4 linked regions of the Nothobranchius furzeri genome follow. The protein of the gene in region 3 purifies or fractionates together with the protein of the main gene of each other region. This does not show direct contact. Links are inferred from orthologs where the notes say so. Each region holds a gene or a part of one and is shown on either strand. Other genes may lie near its edges.

Region 1 (4,313 bases), on a different chromosome or scaffold from region 3:
CTTGTTCAGGTGGAGTCGGCTGGATAACGTTTGTCTGCAAATATGCACAATTAGTCCGGATTTTTCCTGCAAGGTGTGGAAATGTTACAGATGGTGTAAGGCAAGATAAATATAATTCTTTTTTTTTATTGTGTGTGAAAACAGAAATTAAAGGGCAACGCAGTCTGATCAGCAGCATCTCTTGGACAGAATGCACATATTTGAGCTGCACAACAAAAGGAGCGCTGTGCAAACCTGCAACAGGACACACACACACACACGCACACACACACACACACACACACACACACACACACACACACACACAGAGAAAGAGGAAAAACCAATAAACTCTGCTACTGAGAAAAGGAAGTCCTTCACTTAAAATCACGAGAGCCGTGGTGAACGTGTGTTAGTGTCAGCGCTGATGAGAACAACCAGTGACTAATTCCCACCACATACCAGCCGGCTGCAGCAGCGTTAACCAGGGCCGGACCATGCAGAGACAGAGGCAGGATTAGAAATAAAATAAAAACAGCAAAAACCTTCTCATGTGGTAAAAACATATTGGTCATAGCAGCGAAAAACGTTCATAAATAATGATCAAATTATTTCACGTGAGCCCATGGGCGACTGAGTCAAGAGCTGAAATTGTGTCAAACACAAAAGAAGGCATTATGTGTCAGGTGTGAGCTCATTTTCAAGGTGTGCACATGCAGGGCGCGCACACACTCACACACACACACAAAACACAGAAGGTAACAAATCTGGCTAAGCAAAGCTGAGTTAGTGGGTCATATTTCCTACGGCCTGGTCTTCGCCTTAACCTTGTAAAATAAGATGACAGCTCCTAAAGCAAAGACTTGTAATTGCAGTCATTTAACACAAGTTTTTTGTTTGTTTGTTTTTTAAAGGTTCATGGTTGAGAAAATGATTCTGCTTTAAGGTATCCATCCCCCTGTGGGACCAGTGAGGTGCATAATTACAGAATGGCTGATTGTGACTAAATAACTAACATGAAAATATTTAGAAATGTGGCTTTAGATCAGCATGCGTTGGGTAAAGGCTGTGGACACCTCCAGGAAGCAAAGGGTGGCACACATGCTCAACAAAGCAGAGCTGCGCAATCCAATCAGATAAACAAATTACAACTTTTAAAATATTTTTATATATGTTATAATATAACAGTTAATGTGGGCTTACTCAAGTGCACCTTTCATAAAATTTCCTTTCACGTTTCAGTCACATGCAAATCACCCAGAAAAGACTCATTTGCATATTTATTTTATTGGTGTGGTTTTACACTGCTTACTGTGTCAGAGCCATGCTTGTGTTAGAAAAAAGGGCATTTTAAATGAGGCTATGCTAGCACGAATCAACTGCATTATTCAGCAGTGTTGTTTTTAAATTAAATTAAAAATAATAATAATAATTCATTTTAACTGGGTTTTTACTGGCGCACAGCAAAAATTTTATTAAGAGGAAGAACAAAAATTTGAATATCGCCGTGTGTTTCATTCCAAAATTGCTAAATCTGAGATTGAGAGACATTTAATAAAGTTTTTATTTTTTAGAGCGCGTGCCGCCGTACTGTCCACTTCAGGAACAGTTGGGAAAACTTGGCTTTGTCGGCAGCAGCTCTTCTGGGTGACAAAACAAACCCCGACTCGGGGACACAGTGTGTGTGTATCTGTGGGTGAGGAATGTGTGTAGAAATCCAGCTGAAAATTAAATGAACTTACTGTTCGTGCTGTTGGAGAAAGTGATCCATTGGGAAGGTAGGGGCTTGTGAGGTCGGGAATCATTATAAATGGATAGCCCGGGTACGGTGGGCTCTTGAACAGCCCTCCATCTTGCCTTTTCGCAGCTAACATGGCGGGGGGGTGGGGGGAGAAAAAAAAGAGGAAAACCTTTTTTAAAGTGGCCATGGAAAGTTTTTAATTTCCTGAAAACTACATTTGAGTTAGAGAGGAGATTCCCTCTCCGTCAGGCACATTTTATGTAATGTTAAAAGAAGAAAACAAGCCAAAGTAACTCACCCTCTTCTAAACTTTCTCTCGTTTTGTCTCTGAAAGTTTCAGATCTAGGCGGAGGCCGTCTTTCCGCCTTGAAATGCAATGAAACACAAGGATTGCGTTAAACTCGAGGGTGCTGGAGAACTTCTCCTTCCAAACTCTTCATTAAAAATTAGGAAATGCAAGGGCCTCTGTTTTGTGACTAACTTCAGCGGGGATCGATCCGAAACTTACCTCTGAATCCGAGGAGCTGTTCTGATTCGTTTCCGACTCGTTTACGAGAGAAGATTTGACGTCTGCTAAATCCCTTTCTGCCGAGGAGTTCTCCGAAATTTTCTCCTCCTGCTCCCCTTCGTCTTTGAAGGAAATCATTTCATCGTTCGCACCCAGATCGTCCCCTCCACCGCCGTTGAGCTGCGGCATGTTTCCCGTGCAGAAAGCTCTCCTGACCGGGGCACAACACAAACTTTCAAACCCTTGATCTCGGCGATCTCGGTAGTCCGAGTTTAAGTTTTTTTTTATATAAAAGAAAAACGCGGGGTCTTGTATTGGCGTTTTCCAAAGCTCTGGCGGTTGGTAGAAAACTATATAAGAAGAAAAAAAGAAGGGGGGAATCTTGGCAGAAAAAGGAAGCCGGAGAAGGAGCCGAGCCGCCCGGATTGAGTGAGTTGAAGTTGGTCGGAGTGGTTTTCAGTTCAAAGGCGGCGCTGATTGACAGATAGAGAGGGATGGAAATAGAGAGAGTCTGGATTCAGGATTATTGACAGGGAGAAACACACAAGAAACTAATGAGATTCAAACAGGGAGGGACTTGAAGTGACGTTTTCATAAATAGGAGGAAAGAAAAAAAACTGAAAGGGAGAGAGGGGGGGGGGCGGGGGGACGACTGCAGAGAAAAGGCATGTGAGGAGGGAAAAAGGCAGTTTGGGAACAGGACAGTGAGGGTGAAATAGCAGGAAGATAGGAGGATGCTTGCAAATGTGGATTAAACGCACATATGGGCGGTCTCCCGGTGGAAGGAGGGAGAAAGAAAGGAAAAGAGGGCGCTTCCTCCGGCTGTTTCACCCTCCTACTCCTGGCTGACACTTCCCAGCTAAATAAAGTTAATGTTACATGTTTAAATAAAAATGTGTTTTTTTTATTCTTCTGGCAAATTCAGATGCTTAAATACTCAGAGCCTATCAAAGCAACATTACTCAGAACTGTTAGCGATTCTTATTTCATCTGCTTTGTCAGCTCCTTAGATCTATTTTTCATTATGTTGGCTAATGTTTCCTTAGATCTATTTTTTGGGATGGAGGGTGTTATTGCATCCTACTTTCTCGACAGGTGTGATGTCCTCTGGGACTAACCTGAATTCCTCACAGGCAGCACAGACTGAGCTGTTTTTATTTTTCCCTCTTCTTCTCTTTCCTCCTCAGCAGCCAGGCTACTGGACACAAAGAGACGGATGCAGACTCAGATGCTGCAGCTCTGTCTTATTTTAGTCTGGATGGACCTTTAAAAGACAGAAAATTTGAGTGTTTTTGGTGATCTAGAAATAAAATTGCTGCACATGAAATGGAAAAAAGTATATAAGATGGTTTTATGGTTTGTTTTTATTAATTTTATATTAATTAAATTTGTTGTGACAAAAACAAATCTTATTAACTTTTCTCATGTTCTATGCAATAAAGAAAAAAAACACCTGATGAATAAAAATGCAAAAACATCTTAAATGTAACACCTAAGCATCACAAACCTGCAGTTTAATCACAGCAGCTGACACTATCTCATCAGTTTTCTCTTATCTGGTTCAATCTAGAGCAACAATCACAAAAACATCAATTAATTCACCTTTGGCAACAAGAAACGGAGCTAAAGCATCCAGATGACACCGCCTTGCAGAAATGAAAAAAGGAGCAAGATCAAAACAAGTCACTGAATTGTTGATTAAAAATATTGTCTCGTGTCTTCATGGCGTAAGGCGTGTGAAAACAAATATTATGACACTAATTCCTCTGTATCTGCTGTCAGCAGTGTTGTCAGAAAGCGCTGATAGGGAATTACGTGCAGCACCAAGGTGCTGGGAGCCTAACACGCCCAGAACCAGGCAGTTCCATGAAAGCAGGTGCCCATCATTGATGCTCTTTATCTGGATGAGGTGAAAGCAGCATTTGCTTGCTGCAGCCCATGCAGACAGGAGGAGCATGGAGGAAAGGGTTGCCATTACAGTTTTGTTTTGTTTTTTTTATCCTGTGTGTCAGTGTTCAGGGAGCCGATGGAAGAAGACACACCCTGCTGCTCAGGGGCCCTCCAAACCCGACCCCCGTGCAGACC
Region 2 (4,195 bases), on a different chromosome or scaffold from region 3:
TTATTTCTTTAAAGGTGCATTATGTAGAAATGAAGTAAAAATGTGGTAATATTTGTTTACTGCACCGCAACCATTTTAAACAACTCTGGAGATTTTTTGCTGGCCGTTGTCAAATTACAATTGTCGGCGCAGCAGTATTAGCTCACAGGAGACACGGCAACCCCACACTCACTGATGGTAAACAGCAGTCACGTTCCTCCTTCCTTTGTTAAGACATGAGAAAAGCTGACAATCCCCACAGCCAGCTGGATATGAAATACGTTTCAGTATAATCTTCCTTCCAAAATGACTGAAACATTACTCTTTTGGGATTTTCTCACTGTAAAATTCTCCCTATATTCTTACATACTGCACCTTTAATGTTGATTATAACGGCCAACTAATGAAAATCCAAAGTTCAGTATCGCAGAAAATTTGAATATCAATTAAGACTAGGGGTGTAACGGTTCACGAGGGAGTGTTAAACCGTTTCGGTTCGGTCCACTTGCGTATCGTTTCGGTTTATTTTTTCCGTTAAATAATGAATATTTATTGGTGTGATTCAAGTGCAGCGGATAAAAATTCCTACATGAGTTTCTGCACGGACACTGAATTGAGTGACGCATGATGGCTGCACGCGCCCAGTCTCTGTAAAAAAAAAGGCGATGTGCAAATTCTGACCAACACCTTTCAGAGCGGATCAAACCAGCTGGCTGTCGCTGCTTCTGGAGTCTGTAGAGATGCTGAACGGAGCGTCACCTGTCTCCCTTCTCTCACACTGCAGGCACGCAGCAGCAAAAATGTAAACAAACACGTCTGCTGAACTTTCCCCTTGACAACTGATGTAAAGTTTTCAACCTACAACCAAACACCCAGGAAGCACGTTCGTTTTAAAGAAGAAACTCTGGGTGGTGTGAGGTGAGTTTTTAAGGCTCGCTGCAGAAATAAACTGTGAAACTAATGCTACGGAAGTTCCGGAGGGCCAAAAAGGCGCTATTACATAAATTACACTTTTTTTTTAAATCACCCGCAACAAAAAATTCGAATTAATTCATTCAATTGATTTATTGCCCAGGCCTAGTCCAGGATATTGCATCCTCCTCTTCACAATATCCCATAGGTGTTCAAGTGAGTTTCCTGGTCAATCAAGAACGGGAATACCATGGTCACTGACCCTGTGTGCAGGTGCCAAGTTCTGTTGGAAAATTAAATCTGCATCTCCATAAATTTGGTCAGCTGCAGGAAGCATGAAGTGCTCTAAAACTTCCTGGTAGACAGCTACGTAGACCTTATACCTCAGAAAACACAATGGACCAACATCAGCAGATGACACTGCACCCCAAACCATCAATGACTGTGGAAACTTTACACTGTACCTCAAGCAATGCGGATTATGTTTCTCTCCTCTCTTCCTCCAGACTCTGGGACCTTGATTTCCAAAGGAACATAACTTTGGATCACTCAGCAGCAGTCCAGTCCTTGTCTTTAACCCAGGCAAGACGCTTCTGAAGCGGTCATTTCTTCAAAAGTGGATTGACACAAGGAATGCGACAGCTGAAGCCCATTTCTTGAATATGTCTGTGTGTGGGTGGTTCTTGAAGCACTGACTCCAGCTGCAGTCCACTCTTAGTGAATCTCCACATTTTTTAATGGGTTTTGTTTCACAATTCTCTCCTGGGTGCAGTTACCCCTATTGCTATTACAAGTTTTTCTACCACATCTTGTCCTTCCTTTTGTCTCTCTATTAATGTGCTTGGACACAGAGCTCTGTGAACAACCAGCCTCCTTATCATGACCGTTTGTGTCTTGCCCTCCTTGTGGAAGATGTCAATGGTCATCTTTTGAATAACTGTCAAGTTAGCAGTATTCCCCATGGTTCTGTAGCTTACAGAACAAGACTGAGACCATTAAAAGGCTCTTTTTTTTTGGCTGATTAGAGTGTGGCACCTGGGGGCCTTCAATATTGAACATTTTCACAATATTCTAATATCCTGAGATACTGAATTTGGGATTTTCATTAGTTGTCAGTTATAATCATCAAAATTGAAGAAATAAACATTTGAAATACATCAGTCCGTGTGTTAAGAATGCATCTAATATACAAGTTTCACTTTTAAAAGTAATTACCTTTTTCATGAAATTCTAATTTAATGATCAGCACATGAACATGCTCAAATCACTTGACTTTAAAATGTTATTGTGCTACATTCAGATATGTCAATTAAAGTTGAGTTCAAACGCATGCTTAAAGATCCATCTCTTTCAAAACCCTAAAAACATCATTCTATAATTTAAGCATTTTCTAGGATTTACAACTGAAATAAAAGCCTGATTTAAATATCTCTGTTCAGTGTCACCTGGGCAAATAAAAACAAACTACCGACATTTGACATCAAAAGGGCCAAAAACCAACCTGCAGAATGACTGATGTCTGTTTCTCTCCGGGTCTTGCTGCTTTCCACTTTCTGTAGGTGTCTGAGCTCAGGAGATTGTCTGCTTTATGCGTCTGTTTTATGTTGAAAGTGGGTTTAGTGGAAGCTCAACAGCAGCTGAACATCGACTTTACATGATACAAAAAAAAACTTACACTGTCCTCTGAGCTGCAGGACACGACATGTTTCAGTTGGATTTCTGGCATATTTTGACAAGTTCAAACTTACTTAACCATAAAAACCGTCAACCGAGCGCTTTAAAGATCTAGCGAATCCGTATCAGGTTCAAGACACATAAAACGAAACCAGATTTCGTTTAGTGGCTGTACTTCTCTCGTTAGTCTGCGTTAAACAAGCTGTTGACTAAGCTGATAGCATGCTAGCAAACAATAGATAGTGAACTTTTCCTCATTCGTTTGGTAATTCGTTGTATTTAAATGACTGCTGCGCACAAAATGTTTACACTGCTGTATGCTTGACAAATACCCGTTTCTTTGTCAGCAAAGTAAACTACTGAATTTTCGTGTTAACACGCTTAATTTAACGTAAAACGAGCGAAAGGGTGTCCACATTTTCCCACCAAAAGGCTGCACATTTGACAACCTGACGTAACTTCCAAACAACCGATTTTCTGTCCAATGAGAGCGTTTCTTTTTCTTCTTCTTTTACCATAATTACTTTACACACGTGAGCGCCCCCAAACGGGAGAACTGTGAACTGAGACATCACTAATAAATAGTTTTAAAGATTTAAAAATGTTAACTTACTTTTCTTTTGTTTATATCCTGAAAATGTGTTTTATTTTATAAATTTTAGGGCAGAATTATTTTAGTATTTAAATGTGTGGCAGTGTGAGCGTCCTGTCACAGTGTCCCGATTGATATGCGCCCTGGCTGGCTACTAAGCCAAAGAGATGTTTGACTGACTGGTTCGGTTCGCGCGCGTGACCCTGCTCGGGCCTGCATGTAAATATAAAATGTTATTTTAATACTGTGTAGTACTATTAGTTATTTATTGTATTTAATCTTTTAAATTTAAATTATTTCTGTTGTTTTGTTCATATTTTTGCTAATAATAACAACCCACTTTTATTGTCATATCAATTGTTTTCAGTATATGTCATATATACTTAACTGAAAATGTTCTAAATCTGAAAATAGTTATCGACTGAAGCTGTTTATTTTGCTTTTTCTTGGACAATGATATAAAAGAACACCAAATGTTTTTGATTATTGTAAAATAAAGTTGTGAGGAAAAAAGTTAATACAATCACAGTTTTTACATTCCTGCCCAAACATAAAAGCAGTGATTCTTTATTTCAAAATGTTTTATATTCAATAACAACTTTATTAATGCTCAAATTAATTATCACGGGCAAAAACAAACAAACAAAAAACATCCATAAAACGAAAAATTTCACTTTATCATCAGAAGGGTTAAAGCCAGTCTGTGGGATTGGTGCAAAGTATCATAACACCGGTTGTCCTAAAGTTTAATCAGAAGTTGAACTTTAAGATCATCTGACTAGTAAAACGTTTGGGCTGAAAAGAAAAATTACTGACGTAACAAAAATTGTAAGAGTGCTTAAGCTCAACAAGATTCCAGATATCTGAATCAGTGAATGCTGCAGCAACATGTGGCGGGAAACATGAATGACTGATCCTCCGGAGTTCGGAACCATTTTTAATCATTATTTTATGAGAAGAAACAGTTCAGAGGACCTCCAGGTAGATGCCTGTCTCTGGATCAGCACCCTGCACCTCCCTTGTTGCTCTGACCCCTAC
Region 3 (4,017 bases):
CCTCAGATTTGACAGCAGGGAGCCTCTTCTTAAGATCGTTCTTGTCTTCGGCGCGCAGCGCGTCGAATCCCTTCAGCTGGGCGGCGGAATAATCGGGCTTAAACACCAGTTCCTCCCTGCGGCTCACGAAGCACGCCGTGTGGTACCAGCGGTCGATCAGACCCAGCTGAGGTTTCTCTGGGTCAACCGTTTTCTTGGAAACACGAATCTGATCCTGAAAGAGAAGCAAAAATACGGCAGACATGTGAAGTATTTATGACACGTGTTCAACGGTTATTGATTAAGACATTTCCTGTGCTGCGGACCTTTTCTATTTTTTGCTCGCAGCCTTTGCACGTGCTGCGGTTCGACTTGGCGTACTCCACGGCAAAGTTATTCAGAGTTTTGGCCCCTTGAGCGGCACCTTTTGAATCACTTTTCCCTGCAAGATGCAAAGGAAAATAAGTCTAAACATTTAAAAAAAATATGCATTAATAGTAAATGATAAATTAAAAACATTTAGAACAACTTGAGAAATGGCACTCTTTTGACTTTTTATGGATCACTTCACTTTTTTATCTGGCTAATAAGACAAAGTTAAACCAATTGAAAGTAGCTATCTTAAGCTCTTTTGCTTACGATCCAATCCAATTTTATTTATAAAGCGCATTCACAAGGCATTACAACCAAACAAGGCGCTGAACACAATAATTAAAGATCTACCACCGACCTGCTCCGACAGCTCCTCCAGTCTCAATAGCCTTTTTGACTTTTTGCTGGTCCTCCCAGCGAAGAGTGGAGAACCCGGCGATGTCTGCTTCAGTCTGAGCTGCCGCTCGCTGCCAGAAGCAGGAGAAGTGGTGCCAGTGTGGGACTTTCCCATCGAACATCGGGGACTGGAGGACAAAAACAAGACAATGAAGCAACAGCAAATATCAGAAAAAAAAGATGAAAAAAAAAAACAAAACCATTAAAGTGAGAATAAAGGTTTTTCTGTTTGAATTTTTCTGGTTTCTGAATTTGAATGTTGTTTTGTTGTTGGATTTCTGTGCTAGTCATGGATTGTTGTCGTTTCGTCTGACCTGCGGCCGCGTGTCTTGGACACTCGGGTGAAGAGAGGGGCGGAGCAGGCAACTGACAACTACCTGGTGGTGAGTTGGCTCAGATGGTGGGGGAGGATACCGGTCAGACCAGGCAGGCCCAAACGTATCGCGAGGGTCTGCTGGGAACGTCTGGCAGAGTCTCCTGTCAGAAGGAGCTTCAATTCCCACCTCCGACAGAACTTCCAAAATGTTCCGGGGGAGGCGGGGGACATCGAGTCTGAATGCACTCTTTTCCGTGCCTCTTTTGTTGAGGCGGCCGACCGGAGCTGTGGTCGCAGGATCGTTGGTGCCTGTCGTGGTGGCAACCCCCGAACCCGCTTGTGGACACCGGCGGTTAGGGATGCCGTCAAGCTGAAGAAAGAGTCCTAACAGGTCTTTTTGGCCTGTGGGACTCCAGAGGCAGCTGACGGGAACCCGCAGTCCTGCCTGGTGAGGTTTTCTGGGCACGTCCAACCAGGAGGAGCCCTTAAGGTAAACCCCGGACACGGTGGAGGGACTATGTCTCTCACCTGGCCAGGGAACGCCTTGGGATTTCACCAGAGAAGCTGGCCCAAGTGGCTGGGGAGAGGGAAGTCTGGGCCTCTTGACTTCGGCTACTGGCTACTACCCATCTCCGGATAAGCGGATGAAAATGGATGGATGGAATTTTTCTGGTTTTACATGACAAACGTTTTTTGTGCATTAAAAAAATTCAGATTTTACTCACGTTAAAAATAAAATCATGAATTTGTAAACAAGGGTTTTCACAATTTTGTCTTTAAAACTACAGATAATAATTCTGACTTACTTATTTAAACAAGTATAACAAATAAACATATTCACAAGAATGTCAATGTTTCATGCAGCCAGAACTAAAAAAAAATTGACATATTTTGCAGAAAATACACAACACACGGTTGGGTTTTCCAACAATAAAAACAAAAAGGAACCACTGACCTGATAATATGCATTACTGTAACTATTAAGACGTTACAAAAGAAATACTATATAGACTATATTTTGTGGCTGAAACTTTAAATGTGTGCAAGTGGTAATGAATTTTCCTTCCTTTTGCAGGGGTGAGTGCTGATCTGGACCCACAGACTGACCAATAAGCAGGAGTTTGACTCTTACATGATTATTTCTCTATTGCACAGACTGGAACAGCTGCTTGTGTGATTTTTTTTATCTATGTCTCTTGAGTGGAGGAGAGGATGGAGCAGTTGTATTCTGCAGCACACTGGATGGGTCTCAGACATTGTCCTAAGTCCCTCTGAGGCGATCCAGGCGGCTCTTTGTGAGCCAGATTCATTCAGTCAGCCATTTAAATGCTAACCGGGGGCCTCACTTAGCACAACTCAAACTCCTTTATAAACTACACTAGATTAGTTTAAAGTCTGATTATTATGGTTCTCTATATGCGCACATATGATTTAGATATCAGCACGGTTATAAAAGGCTTCATAACAGAATGGTTCCTTGGTTAAATCCCTCCAGACGTCGCTACCTCCTCACCTGCACCATGAGGGCCATCCTCAGCGAGTCCTTAGCTATGCTCTCTTTGCATTTCTTGCACGAAGCCCGGCCGCTTTTCGCGTATTCCGCCTTGTAGAGCTTGTCATCTTGGGAGTCCGCCATTGTTCCTTAATGTTGCAAACAAGCAAACAAAGCGACGTGATGAAGAGGGCAACTTTCTCCGATGCACTCTCGGAGCCACCACAACAATCACAGGCAGAGCGGCGGCTGCAGCCCGCGTGCTACTTGGAGAGGAAGCTCACGAGACGAGGTCTCACTCTGACTCCGATTTACAATCCACGTAAGTTTTAACTTTGTTTTAATGTACTTTGTGGTATATTACGTTTTAGTTTGTTTACGTTATGATTCGAGACATTATGATGATTCGTTTGGCCATTTTAAACTTCTGTGTGGTCCCCACCTGTTTGTATTTTTCTCTAATGTACCGAAAAAAATCAGGGTTGAGTTGTTACACTGTAACCACATAACAACTTTGTTTATTCTTAACGGTTCATAAAAGAGAGAAACATTTGGCCACTCTAACCCAGAGCTAGAGTAGCTCTGCCCTAACCTAAATCTCTGACGCACTGTGATTTTTATCTTGAAAGGCGCTACACACATTAACTTTTCTTCTTCTACCAAGTGGGGCATCTTAAGAGCAATATAGGATCAGTGAACTGGTTCGCAGAATTCCCGCGCGAGTTTCAGCCAGAACTAATGGAGCACAGATCAATCAGATTTTTACAAAACTAAACATGAAATTCTACATGAAGCAAAACTATTAAGTATGTTAATTATAAATATATTTACAATAGTTGCATTTGTTTATAGTTGATCACTGAGAACTAATGCGCAAACAAACAATTCCAAAGAATAGTTCTGCTTTAAGATTTTTATTTGCACAATTCACATTGAAAGTTTATGTAAAAAATAAACATACAAAATGTAAATACAATATGTGTTCATCAAATGAACTTCAGTCTTTTGAAAACAAAATTTTTAAAAACTATGACCTGATTATAAGGGCCTAGATAACAATTTGGGTTCAATAACGACAATAATAATACACTGATGGAGACTTTCATTTACTCGTCTTTACAATAATTTTTCACATAGTCATTAATTAGTAAAATTATTTCTAAAAAATCTTTGGGCTTACTAATAAATATAAAAACATCTTTAACTGTAAACAAAATTGGTGGAAAATAACTCACTAAAAACGTCAACCAGGGCTTTACAGGCCACTGAGTAAAATTCTAAGAGGTATTGTGTGTTTTGGCGTAGAGGTCTCACCTCTTGCTAGCACATTTTCTAAGCAAGCAAGAAAATGTGTTGGCTTTTCTTTAACTGGACAAAATAGCATAAACAACAACTGAAAACAGAGATTTCAGATGATGAAGTTAACCTATATTATGATGCTATAAATAGTTAATTTCCAAAG
Region 4 (2,967 bases), on a different chromosome or scaffold from region 3:
GGTTTGACCCTTGCTGTCAGAGAATGCTGCTGTTGTGTCCACGGGCAAGACGACTAACCCACCTTGTCTGGTGGTGGTCGGAGGAACCAGTGTACAACAGGCCTCGCCTCTGCCAGTGTTCCCTAGGGCAGCTGTAGCTACACCGGATCTCCATCACCACCAGCGTGAATGTGCGTGCATGGGTGAATGACTGTGTGTGTGTGTGTGTGTGTGTGTGTGGGGGGGGTTGGGGTAAAAGGGCTATACAAATACAGGCAATTTACTACTTTGCAAGTACTATTATTTTTTCTGCAGGGATTCTGAAGTTAGTTTTTATCGGACTGCTCATCACCCCTCAGTCCAGTAAGTTGAGTCAGTGGTACAGGGACAAGAACTGAAAAACGTGTAAAAGAAACCACAGAGGAAGCCATGAATGTTAACACTATCTGCTCGCGTGTTTTTCTCCATGTGCAATAAGGAAACACCTGGAGCTGCTTGAATAGACAGCCGTTAGTACATTTCATTTGAGACTTCACCACCACACAAACACGTTTCCAGGTGACAGATGTTGTCTTGCAGAACTTTTAATGAAACCGTTTTGTTGTGAACAGGCGTTTCACATGATGAAAACATACAGCAGCCCTGAGAACCTGAGTGCAATGCATAACAAATGTTTAGTTGCCAGTGTGTGCAGCTAGCATTGGATCTGGTCAGTTGCAGAAGAGTTGCTACTTTAAATAACATTCAAGGATGAAAAATAAACTCAGGATGAAGATTTTCAAGTGACATTTCAGGCTAACTGGGGAAATTTAGCCTAATCTTGTTTCTTAGCAAAGGATCTAGCCTGAAAGAAATTACCTTAACACAAGCCTTCAATAACCCAAACAAAATATGCTTTGAGCGACATTGATAAACTAGAAAAGTTGCCCTTTCGGTCGGTGGTTGGCCCTTAAAAGGGCCTTTGGGTTCATTGTGGTTAGCCGTGAAGCTAATACTCCTGAGACTGAGAGGACGCCTTCTTTCCCGCCTTGCCGGAGCTGGGTGCTGCCTGGCCGGCCTTCTTGGGCAGGAGGACGGCCTGGATGTTAGGCAACACGCCTCCCTGAGCGATGGTCACGCCACCGAGCAGTTTGTTCAGCTCCTCGTCGTTACGGACAGCCAGCTGAAGGTGGCGAGGAATGATTCGGGTCTTCTTGTTGTCCCGAGCGGCGTTGCCAGCCAGCTCCAGGATCTCGGCGGTGAGATACTCGAGGACCGCAGCCAGGTAAACAGGAGCTCCGGCGCCCACTCTCTCAGCATAGTTTCCCTTGCGGAGGAGACGGTGAACACGGCCCACAGGGAACTGCAGACCGGCGCGGGAGCTGCGGGTCTTCGCCTTGGCGCGGGCCTTAGCACCGGTTTTACCTCTTCCAGACATTGTTGAAGATCTCTTCCACGAATATGATTTCAATGCAGAAAATCGCAAAGTAGAAAGAAAAAAGGCTCGCCGAGCCATATATAAGCCTCCACGTTAGTCCCGCCCCAAACTACTATTGGATGCTAGAGAGAGAAGCTCTCATTTGTTTGGCTTTAGGAGATCAAACGTTCCAGGAAGCCAGTAACTATTGGTTTGGCTGCTCTGGCTCTACACCAATCATCGAGGAGTCTGACCAATAGACAAAGGTAATTGGTTGTTTATTTGTTCACCCAGTTTCACGCGGGTCACGTGTCAGAAGGAAGACCAATAGACGGTCTTCCCTCCAGCTTTAAACGTTTTGGCGCGTTACCGAACGAAAAGTGAACATTTCAAGCGATTTAATGAGTATTGATACAGTAAAGTATTGAATAATGTTGTCAGGGTTTTTGACCAAGATCGAAATGTGGTGACACATGTATCACAATTATACATGAGGACAATTTATTAAAATGCGCAAAATGTGCTTGAAGTAAGCTTACACTGCACAAACTGTGTGAGGGAGGGCCAGCAAGACATGGAAAATTCCACCATCCTCCCCCACTGAGACGAAGCTAATCCTAGGCAGCTCAGCAAATAACCATTTTACTGGTAAAAATATATACCTTTTACAAAAACAAGACCATATTAACTAAGTGCACAATCAACATTAGGGTTGAAAAATAATTTATTTGCAATAAATTACATTTTCAAAATATAACTGGGGCCTCACATCTTGAATTTTACAGCCACTTTTTCAAATTACATTCACATATCACTACATGTATATGTATGTGTGCTTTCAGGCAGGAGAGTGGTTTTGATCTGTTCTGCATTTTTAATTAGTTTGACAGTATTGTCCATACAGTACTGGCTTAATGTTTGGCATGTCCATTTGATAATATTTAATCAGATTAAATATTTATTTAAAAACACAGTAATTGAATAATTGATTTTGGTTGTTATGAGGTCCCAAAATTATTGCAGTTATTTCAAATGAGGTTTTTATAAGAGAAAAAAAATCATATGTACAGTTTTACAATTGGTTCTGATTGCTGCAGCAATTATCATTTTGTGTGTCTAGTTGTTAATATTTTTTTTCCAGCCCTGAGAGCAGTTCCACGTATAAAAAACTCTTAAACTTGGTTCTAATTGCCTGAGCTGAACCCTGACAGTCCAAGTGGATTGAATTAAATATGTTTATGACAATAATTCTCCTAAATACAACATTTTGCTGTTTGTGTAATATAAATTAATCAAATGTGTGACTGTTTGTTGTAAAATATGTTTTCTTAGTGAAGCACTGAGCTGCTGCAACTCAGCTATACCTGATCATTGTAAATCGTTTACCGACATGTTTATTTTTAAAGTTGATAGTCTTTCTTTATTTTTATTTTTTATTTTTTACAGATTAAGCTTATTGCCCAGCACGAGATGCCTGCTGACTGAACTATCAAAATCAAACCATAGTTATGATATTCCACAGAAAATAATTATCACACAAAATTACGATAAATACACCATCTTCTCTGCTTTTTATGCGATTAAACATGAAT

Evidence for each region.
Region 1: the proteins of parp1 (region 3) and tcf7l2 purify together in Homo sapiens (affinity purification with mass spectrometry; 3 studies listed by BioGRID and IntAct, with this or other methods). This does not show direct contact. The link is inferred for Nothobranchius furzeri from reciprocal best matches to the Homo sapiens genes PARP1 and TCF7L2.
Region 2: the proteins of parp1 (region 3) and xrcc1 purify together in Homo sapiens (affinity purification with western blotting; 9 studies listed by BioGRID and IntAct, with this or other methods). This does not show direct contact. The link is inferred for Nothobranchius furzeri from reciprocal best matches to the Homo sapiens genes PARP1 and XRCC1.
Region 4: the proteins of parp1 (region 3) and h2ax purify together in Homo sapiens (affinity purification with mass spectrometry; 9 studies listed by BioGRID and IntAct, counting the BioPlex papers as one, with this or other methods). This does not show direct contact. The link is inferred for Nothobranchius furzeri from reciprocal best matches to the Homo sapiens genes PARP1 and H2AX.

What each region holds. Positions count from the first base shown.
Region 1 is NC_091756.1:39,558,236-39,562,548, forward strand, and holds the start of tcf7l2 (transcription factor 7-like 2), read right to left. Parts: upstream 2,846-4,313; 5' UTR 2,418-2,845; coding exon 2,229-2,417; intron 2,086-2,228; coding exon 2,019-2,085; intron 1,847-2,018; coding exon 1,722-1,846; intron 1-1,721. UniProt on the Homo sapiens protein: Participates in the Wnt signaling pathway and modulates MYC expression by binding to its promoter in a sequence-specific manner. Acts as a repressor in the absence of CTNNB1, and as activator in its presence.
Region 2 is NC_091745.1:68,574,853-68,579,047, forward strand, and holds the start of xrcc1 (DNA repair protein XRCC1), read right to left. Parts: upstream 2,846-4,195; 5' UTR 2,618-2,845; coding exon 2,567-2,617; intron 2,486-2,566; coding exon 2,393-2,485; intron 1-2,392. Other genes in the region: sialic acid-binding Ig-like lectin 5, read right to left, coding at 4,124-4,195. UniProt on the Homo sapiens protein: Scaffold protein involved in DNA single-strand break repair by mediating the assembly of DNA break repair protein complexes. Negatively regulates ADP-ribosyltransferase activity of PARP1 during base-excision repair in order to prevent excessive PARP1 activity.
Region 3 is NC_091742.1:4,979,751-4,983,767, reverse strand, and holds the start of parp1 (poly [ADP-ribose] polymerase 1), read right to left. Parts: upstream 2,824-4,017; 5' UTR 2,700-2,823; coding exon 2,577-2,699; intron 876-2,576; coding exon 710-875; intron 422-709; coding exon 306-421; intron 215-305; coding exon 1-214. UniProt on the Homo sapiens protein: Poly-ADP-ribosyltransferase that mediates poly-ADP-ribosylation of proteins and plays a key role in DNA repair.
Region 4 is NC_091750.1:47,427,502-47,430,468, reverse strand, and holds h2ax (histone H2AX), read right to left. Parts: upstream 1,498-2,967; 5' UTR 1,475-1,497; coding exon 968-1,474; 3' UTR 546-967; downstream 1-545. UniProt on the Homo sapiens protein: Variant histone H2A which replaces conventional H2A in a subset of nucleosomes. Nucleosomes wrap and compact DNA into chromatin, limiting DNA accessibility to the cellular machineries which require DNA as a template.